Linked DNA regions of Caenorhabditis elegans. The protein of the gene in region 2 interacts with the protein of the main gene of each other region in a pairwise test. Each region holds a gene or a part of one and is shown on either strand. Other genes may lie near its edges.

Region 1 (3,829 bases), on a different chromosome or scaffold from region 2:
ATCCTTGACTCTCGAGAACTTCTTCGGATCACGACGAATCAGATAGTGAATGTCCTCAAGTGCCATTTTATCCGGTTTTCCAACTTTCATCGCCAGTTGGCATAACTCTTTGATGTAGTTTAGGACAATGGCCTCAAGAGTGTCCAGGGTCTTGTCGTATGGCTCCTGAAACATTTATTTATAAACAATTCAGGAAATTATCAATCGGAATCTTAGAAAAACCGCTCATTTAATTTCTTTTTAATTTGTTATAGAAATGCAAATAAATTTTGATTCAAAAAGTTGCACAGCCCTGTTACCAACCTTATCATCTCCAAAGCCATAGACCATTGATCTCAAATCTCGTCTCAGCACGTGCTTCTTATCCTCCGGATTTACCACCTTCTCCTTGTCATCTTCGGCATCCGAGCCGAACAGATCCTCTTCGTCATCCATTTTTTAAATTCTGAAATTAATTTAAAATTGGTCTGAAATTTTTTAAAGTGAAGTTAATTAGATATATAATAAGTTTTCGACAACAAGAATTGCAATACAGTCAATTAAAATATTAAAAATTTCTGAATAATTTATCACGTTATTTGGAGAAGAAACCGACTTATGGAAAAAAATCTAGTACATCAGTGGGTGAAAAAACGAGGAAAAATCAAAGAAAGGCACATGAAAAAGAAAGGAAGAATGATAATTGAGCTACTTATTACAATATTTTTGAAGTGAAAAAAATCCGAAAAACCATATAAAGCATAATACGTTAATCATTTTCCTAAAATTTCAGTCAATAAACAGAAAATTGGGAAAGGAAAAATCATAGAAAGAAGAAAGTGTGCAGATCCGATGTATAAAGTGATGAGTGTGTGGATGAGAACAAGAAATTAAGTGAACAAAAAATGAAAGTAAAACACATGCAAAAGGAAAGAGCCGTCTAGTAGATCACAGTTATAAGCCGCCATATGGGTGAGCTTATCCTCGGCGAAGTTTTTCGTTGATTGTGCGGACTATCATTGTCGTTTGGAAAACCAGTTGGTTGGCGGACACGGATACCTGCAAACATTGAATTTAGGCTCAGAATTTGTTTTAAAAAAATGGATTTTAATATTATTCAAGAATTTAGTTTGATTTTCCCAAGATTTGGGGAAAATTTACAGGTTTTTATTTTAAAAAAAAGTCCAAATTTGCCGAATATCGATGTGAAAAAATTAAAAAAAAATCTCCCTGATTTTATATTTCAGTGCGAATTTTTTCCCAGAAAAACCGGGGCTTTTGAATTTTTCACATAGATATTCGGAGTCAAGGACAAATTTCGACGCATTTAAGTAAAAAAGCACATTTTTTCCCACGAACCTGATTTGCATTCTGATCTTTAAAATACGTCTTCAAAGTGTTACTGAATCTTTTCGAGTAGTGCACAAATTCCCGTTTACGTTTCTCAACGGCCGGCTGCGCAGTGAGTGGAACAATTCTGTAGACGGCGTTTATTGCCTCAAGAAGTTTCTTGATTGATGATGCGATGAGCTTGATGGTCTCCAGGAAGGCGTGACGATCCGACATTTCTTCGGGAACCCGGGACAGAACACGACGAAGCTCGATTGCTCTGTAATTTTTTTCGTACGCCAGGAATTTTGAAAAAAATTATCTAATTTGATTACCGTTTCGTGAGCTCTTTATAATCAGCATTCTGCTCATATCCACTGACAATCAAATCATTTGTCGGCGAGGTGTCATGCATTCTCAGATAGGATTCCTGCAGATTAACGCTCAATTCCGAGTCATCCAGCAAAACTTTTGTGAAATCATAGAGAAACGACGGAGAAGCTTGTTCACAAGTGGTCAGTGCAGTGTGCAGTTTCTGAATAATTCTTTGTTAATTTATTTTTTTTCGTTTAACAGTATAAAATTCATAGAAAATATTCTTATATAGAATAGCTTACGTTTAGGGCGAGAGAAGCTCTTGGATCATCACGATGTTGCTGTCTAAAATATATTTTTTAAATTATTATGTTTAAAAACTGATATTTCTTGAAACCCACTTAATTTTTTCCATCACAGGACTGTACAGGCATTGATATGTCATCGCTCCAAGATATCCACCCTCTTCGTTCATTGTGAAACTGCTGAAATGAAAATCATGATTTTTGAGTGAATTTTAAGAGGAGAAAGCTGTGTTAAAAAAGGAAAAACCCGCATACGATCGATTTGCATCGCAAATACATACAGAAATCAAAAGCGGAGAGAGACGCAGATAATAAGGCGAAAAGTTGGAGAAATACAGAGGAAAACGAGGAGAGTAAATATAGGAAGAAAGTGAACGGTCGGAAAGGAATGTGAAAGCAGAATTCGAATTCCTTGGAGAAACTTATGAGTCATTATAATAATAATAATAACGGTTTTTATCGGTTTCGCATGATAACCCACCCAGAAATCGATGCAATTGTTTTTTAATAGTTGAATTAATATTGTGAAATATAAGAAATAACATTAAATATGTTTTTTACTTGAAAAAATAATGAAAATCGCAAAAAATTGATAAAATCTGTTAAAAAAAGAACGAAAAAAAAAAAATTTAAATGAAATGTTCGCATTGGAGCGCACTTGCTGGCACCAGAGATGCTGCAGATTTCGAGATGAACAATTCTGGAGAACAAAGTTCTTGGAAAAATTTTAATATTCGACGTTAAAAATATATTTTATTAGTGCTTAATTTTTTAAATAATCAATTCAATCGCGAAAATGTGAACAAAATGTTTTTACTCAACTCAGACCTCGGTGGAGGTAAAATTTTGCAAATTTTGAAATAATGAATCTTTCAATTTTTAGCCTAGTGCACTAGCTAGTGTTATTTAGACATATAAATGCAGATTTTGCAAATAATAATCTCTGAGAATAAACAACGATTTCCAATATTCAATCAGATTTTCCTGAAAATATATTTTTTTAATTATAATTGTCCAGATCTGGCCAGATAAATTTCATGATTTTTCCCAAAGAATACGGTAGCAGGTCTCGTCAAATTTTCGCACACAAAAAGGTGTGTGCCTTTAAAGAGTACTGTAACTTCAAATTTTTGTTTCAGTGGATGTATTAAAGTTTTTTTTGTAAACTTTTCGAAAAATAAAAAGTTCTTCATCGAAAAATTAGTGGAAAATTATTTTTTCGTAAATCAATAAAAAGAAATTACAGTAATCTCTAAAGGCACACTCACTTTTCTATTTAATGATGGTGTTTCGCGACGAGACCCGGTGCCGTATTTCTGGGGACTCTATTATATTTTCAGCCCACCAGTGAAGGATATCTGTCAATAAAATTATGATATAGTAAAGAATCTCCGGAAAACAAGAAGTCACAAGTCCAATTCCCATCAATCTGCGTCTCAAAATCTTCCGTAATATCTTTTTTCTCCCGGCTGTCCGTCTCATCTTCCGTGTCATTCCTGCCGATCAATAGGAGATCCACTATTCACACCTTTGTTACGCTTCAGAGTATATTAACAATAGAGTCGAGAAAAAAACATTGAAATTTGTTTCATTTTATTGTCTTTTCTTTTCTAAATTGCTCTCAAAAAATGTGCTGATTTCATTTTTCTAGATGTTTCCTTTGGTCAAAGGTTTCGAGAAAAAACCAGTTCCCATTCCAAAAAATAGGTAATAAAATTGCGAACATGTACATTCAAGGTATAGACTCCCAATCAGGAAATCTCATTTCCTGTGATAATTCTGTTCTCTGACCGAGTTTCATCTTTTTTTTTTGTATTTGGTATTAATATATGGTCAAAGGCATAGCCGATCATAGATCAAACATTTTCAAAACAAAATAAAACTTGTTGTTTGATGATTCA
Region 2 (4,900 bases):
AATAAAAATCTTTACCAAAAATGTGGTGGTTTTAATGAGAAAGAACCTGACCGGAAGCTATAAATGGTTATTTATAAATTTAAAAAAATTACGCTAACGGAATTGCACACCTGGAATCACTCCGGCCAGCGGAGCGCACTTGAACACCCCCGCTTTTCTCACTGGTTTTACTCCAGCTTGTATTCTTTAAGGGTGCCTTCATAAGGAACGTTCGATTTTCATCGAATTTACAAAAAAAAACTTCACAAAGAAAGAAACAAAAAAAATTAATAAAAATTTTGGAACTTTTTTTTTCAATTTTGGGACCTGACGTCTAAGCCTTTTATCAGAGCTTTTTGAGGGGCTAAAAGTTGTCAAAAAATAAGTTTTATCCGGAAAAAAAAAGAAAAGTGAAACTTTAACAAAAAAAAAAAGAAACACCCTACATAGAATCGAACCAAATAGTGTTTCTACCAAACGGAGCGCACTACCCACTGCGCCAACTGAACACAGAATTTCACACCATTCTTGGTGAAGATATAGGAGAGCCGCTGCAGCGCGCTGTAGTTTGAGAAAAGCGGGGGGTGTGCAAGTGCGCTCCACTGGCCGGAGTGATTCCAGGTGTGTAATTCGGTAATCCAAAAAAAATTCTAGAAATCGAAAAAAACCTTGATTTCTCACGAATTTTCAGAAGAATAGTGCAAAATGGGCAGGGAAAATAGAAAATAACTATAGAATTAAATATTTAAACTTTAATAAACTTTAAAAAACCCAAAATTTTCTCGGAAAAGATGGGAAAAGCAAAGAAAACAAAATTAAAACAAAAAAATGTTCAAATACGCAATTGTGCGTCACTAATACAGTAACCCGAGACCCGAAGAACTCGGGGGATGTCCAATTGGGGGGATTACCAACTCGGGGGATTGGCCCCGCCCACAGAACCGTGGCTTGCAATACGCCCATTTCTGCAACTGCCGCACGGTTTTAAAATTATTTTTTCTTGTTAATTCTCGCTCTATTGAGAAAAATACAGTTTTAAAACCGTATTTTTCTCAATAGAGCGAGAATTAACAAGAAAAAATAATTTTAAAACCGTGCGGCAGTTGCAGAAATGGGCGTATTGCAAGCCACGGTTCTGTGGGCGGGGCCAATCCCCCGAGTTGGTAATCCCCCCAATTGGACATCCCCCGAGTTCTTCGGGTCTCAGTAACCCTTACGCTGCAACACTTTTACGCAAAAATGCACACTGTTTTCTTTTCACAATTAAATTTATTTTTTTTAAATTTTATTCGGATTAAATCGATTTTAAAAAGTTTAAAGTCGAAAAATCAACGATTCCATATAAAAATTTCAATTTTTTCAAATATTTGTGCTCAATAACGTTACTTTTTCAATATTTGACACTCACAAACGCCTATCATTGCTGTGCGCTGTAAAATATGAATTTATAGCAATAAAAAGGTGAATTTAAGTGCAAAATCCGAGCATTATGCTCTAAAAATGTGCACTTTTATTCCGAAACACTGCTAGCAACGGAGCGCACTTGCTGCTCCCGCTATTTGCATTGTAATTTTGTTTGTTTGTCTTTTTTTTCGCTTTTCCCCTTGCCAACACAATTATTTGTTACTTTTTCAAATTAATCCATGTTAAAATTGTGAAAAACAAAATAAATGACTGGCTTTTTCAGTTCATTTCCATCTAAAAAAGTGACGTTCAAGCGATGTTTACCCTCCTTTTCTCTGCTTCTCTTACCCTCTCCCTTTTCGATGTCTGTAATAGACAGGCAAATATCGATTCATTCGATAAATATATACTGTCCCCACTGACCTTTGAATTCTTGTTCTTTTTTCTCAATTTCTAATTATTTCAGATTCTATGGTGTGGGTAAAGCCTGAGCATTTAATATTGGCACAATCGTTTTGGTAAGAAATTATTTGAACGAGGAGTAGAGTTTTTTTGATTTTTCCTGTTTAAAATTGAATAAAACTCTGCTTTAATTCTGCTAAAATTGAGAAATTCGACAATTTTTCTTTGTTGCAACAGCTTATGGCGCAGTTTTATATTTAATTTAGCGTTATTTTGTTAATTTCGGCAAATTTTAAGCCGATCGGCTCCCAATTTTGGTTTTTAGGGCCTAATGTGGCTGAATCAACGAGCTAACGCAATTTTAACGATTAAAACTTAAAAAATTGCAATATTATTGATAATTTAACAATTTTTCGAATAAAAATTACTAAATTTAACTTGAATCTTCAATTTTTTCTAAATAACATGCAGTGATCGGAAATTAGTTTTTAATGAATTTTAACTCTAAATTGTACATTTTTGTTGTCTTTCCCGTGTTTTAATATTAACGGTCGAAATTCATAAAATAATGGTCAAAAAAGAGCCAAATTTGCTAAAATCTGAAATTTCGTTCACTTATCTTTGTTGCAGGAACTGGAATACAGTTTTTATCGAATTATCACCCTTTTTGCATATTTTTGTCATTTATCTCGCGCAGATTCGATGATTTAAGCACATTTTACGTCTACAAGGCGCTCAAAAAAACAAAAAGACGAAAATTGGCCGAAATCATCGAATCTGCGCGAAATAAACGACTAGAATATGCAATAAAGTGTTATAACTTGATAGAAAGTGTACTCCAGCTGCTGTGACAAGGAAAAGTTGGCGAAATTTCAGATTTTACAGAGTTTGGCTTTTTTAATAATTCTCTTCACAAATTTCGATCATTTCCAGTCAGTTTTAGACTTTTAAAATAACTTTTAAAGGTGGAGTACCGAAATTTGAGACTTTTCTTTTTTAGACCAAAAATGACCCAAAACTACCGAATTTCGTAATGAGACATTTTGAAAATTTCTTTTAAAAAAGTTATGGTGGCTCAAAGGTCTGGATTTTATTAGAAGTTTATTCGTTGATTAAAGTACATTTTCGGGCATTTCTGTGCCCAACTGACCGAAAGTGTACTTAAATCAACGAATAAACGCCTAATAAAAGACCACAATATTTATTAAAAAGTGATAATTGAATAAAAATTTAGTTCCAGACGCTGCGACACCGAGAAGTTGGAAAAAATTGTGATTTTAGCTATATTAGCCTTTTTTCCAGAACTTTGAATCGCCATAACTTTTTTTTGAGAAATTTTCAAAACGTCTTGTGTCGATATTCGGTAGTTTTGGGACATTTTTGGTTTAAAAAAGCAAAATTTCAAGTTTCGGTGCTCCACCTGAAGGTGGTGTCAGGATGTCTCTTTTCGGTTTGATCTCCGAAAAATGCGGGAGAAGAGACACAGAGTTCTCAACTTATTTTGCATGGTTAAGAACGTGCTGACGTCACAGTTTTTTTGTCAAAAAATTCCCGCATTTTTTGTAGATCAAACCGTAATGGGACAGCCTGGTACCACGTGGTGCACCTTTAAGGAAAAAACCCACAAACTCTACTCCCCCCATTTAAATTATTCCGTACAAAAAATAAATTCTTTATCTTTTCAAAATTCCAGGTCATGCGAGAAAGCCAGCAAATACTTCCAACTCCAACGTCGAAAAGGACACGGAACACGTGGCTTTTCGTCTCTTATCGTTGCAACAATCGATTCGGTTTTCGACACGAGACCCCCTCCATACCGAATAATTTACGATTTTGATGATGAAGATGTACACATTTCGATTGTGCTAGCAGTAGCTGTAGAGGAAAAAGAAATTGAAGAACACTGGAATCATGTTCTACAACATTTTGTTCCGGCGATAGGTTAATTGGATACTTGATTGGAGAAAAACAATTATTTATAAGACACTTTTTTATTTCAGAACCCCTTCAATTCGAGAAAGATGTCCGAAGATATGTTACTACGAAAGTAGAAAGTTTAGCTAATAATTCAGAAGAAGTAGTTTCACCTTATTCAGGTAAAAAGGATGCGATATTTTGAGAAAAAGTGACACAAAAAACTGAAAAATTAGCTAAAATATTCAATTTTGTCAATTTGCAGTTATCGGTTATCAGTTTTTAGTAAATTGCTGCTTAATGTGGTATTTTTTCCCGTAATTTTCATGTTAATTTAGGCATATTTAAACTCAACATGCGTTTTTTGCGAAATCTGAGAAATATTTTTAAATGACTCCAAAGTTTCCCCTGATTCCGAATATCAAAGTGAAAAAATTCGAAAAAATTTCCCTTCAGCGTGAAATTGCGATTTTAATTTGGTTCCCCATGAGATTTTTCAAACGGCAAATGTTGCCGCGCAACGACACTCCGCGCTAAACAAAGAGTGCTTGTTTAGATTTACGAGAGTCATTTTTTGCTATTTGACGGTTTTTCACCGGTTTTTCTAGACCCGAAGAACTCGGGGGATGTCCAATTGGGGGGATTACCAACTCGGGGGATTGGCCCCACCCACAGAACCGTGGCTTGCAATACGCCCATTTCTGCAACTGCCGCACGGTTTTAAAATTATTTTTTCTTGTTAATTCTCGCTCTATTGAGAAAAATACAGTTTTAAAACCTGCAATACGCCCATTTCTGCAACTGCCGCACGGTTTTAAAATTATTTTTTCTTGTTAATTCTCGCTCTATTGAGAAAAATACAGTTTTAAAACCGTATTTTTCTCAATAGAGCGAGAATTAACAAGAAAAAATAATTTTAAAACCGTGCGGCAGTTGCAGAAATGGGCGTATTGCTGGCCACGGTTCTGTGGGCGAGGCCAATCCCCCGAGTTGGTAATCCCCCCAATTGGACATCCCCCGAGTTCTTCGGGTCTCGTTTTTTCTCCAGTTTTCGCCGAAATTTGTCTAAAACTGGCCCGAATTGACCGAAATTCATAATTAAACCTCGAAAATTGCCTTAAAAATATTTTATGGCACGTCAAAATTCAAATTTCGCCAATTTTTTTGTTGCACCAGCTGGAGCACAGTTTCTATCAAGTTA

The links. The genes of interacting proteins can lie anywhere in the genome.
Region 1: the proteins of tbc-9 (region 2) and ccm-3 interact in a two-hybrid assay, tested with the Caenorhabditis elegans proteins (one large-scale study listed by BioGRID).

The regions. Positions count from the first base shown.
Region 1 is NC_003280.10:10,605,168-10,608,996, forward strand, and holds ccm-3 (Programmed cell death protein 10 homolog), read right to left. Parts: upstream 2,109-3,829; 5' UTR 2,099-2,108; coding exon 2,025-2,098; intron 1,969-2,024; coding exon 1,926-1,968; intron 1,844-1,925; coding exon 1,644-1,843; intron 1,589-1,643; coding exon 1,339-1,588; intron 1,039-1,338; coding exon 958-1,038; 3' UTR 550-957; downstream 1-549. Other genes in the region: taf-13 (Transcription initiation factor TFIID subunit 13), read right to left, coding at 1-165, 304-435. UniProt on the Caenorhabditis elegans protein: Involved in excretory canal elongation during postembryonic development. Plays a role in promoting Golgi stability, ER integrity and vesicle transport probably by regulating the activation of Rho GTPase cdc-42. Involved in fertility.
Region 2 is NC_003282.8:13,499,800-13,504,699, reverse strand, and holds the start of tbc-9 (Rab-GAP TBC domain-containing protein), read left to right. Parts: upstream 1-1,843; 5' UTR 1,844-1,854; coding exon 1,855-1,901; intron 1,902-3,478; coding exon 3,479-3,726; intron 3,727-3,785; coding exon 3,786-3,881; intron 3,882-4,900.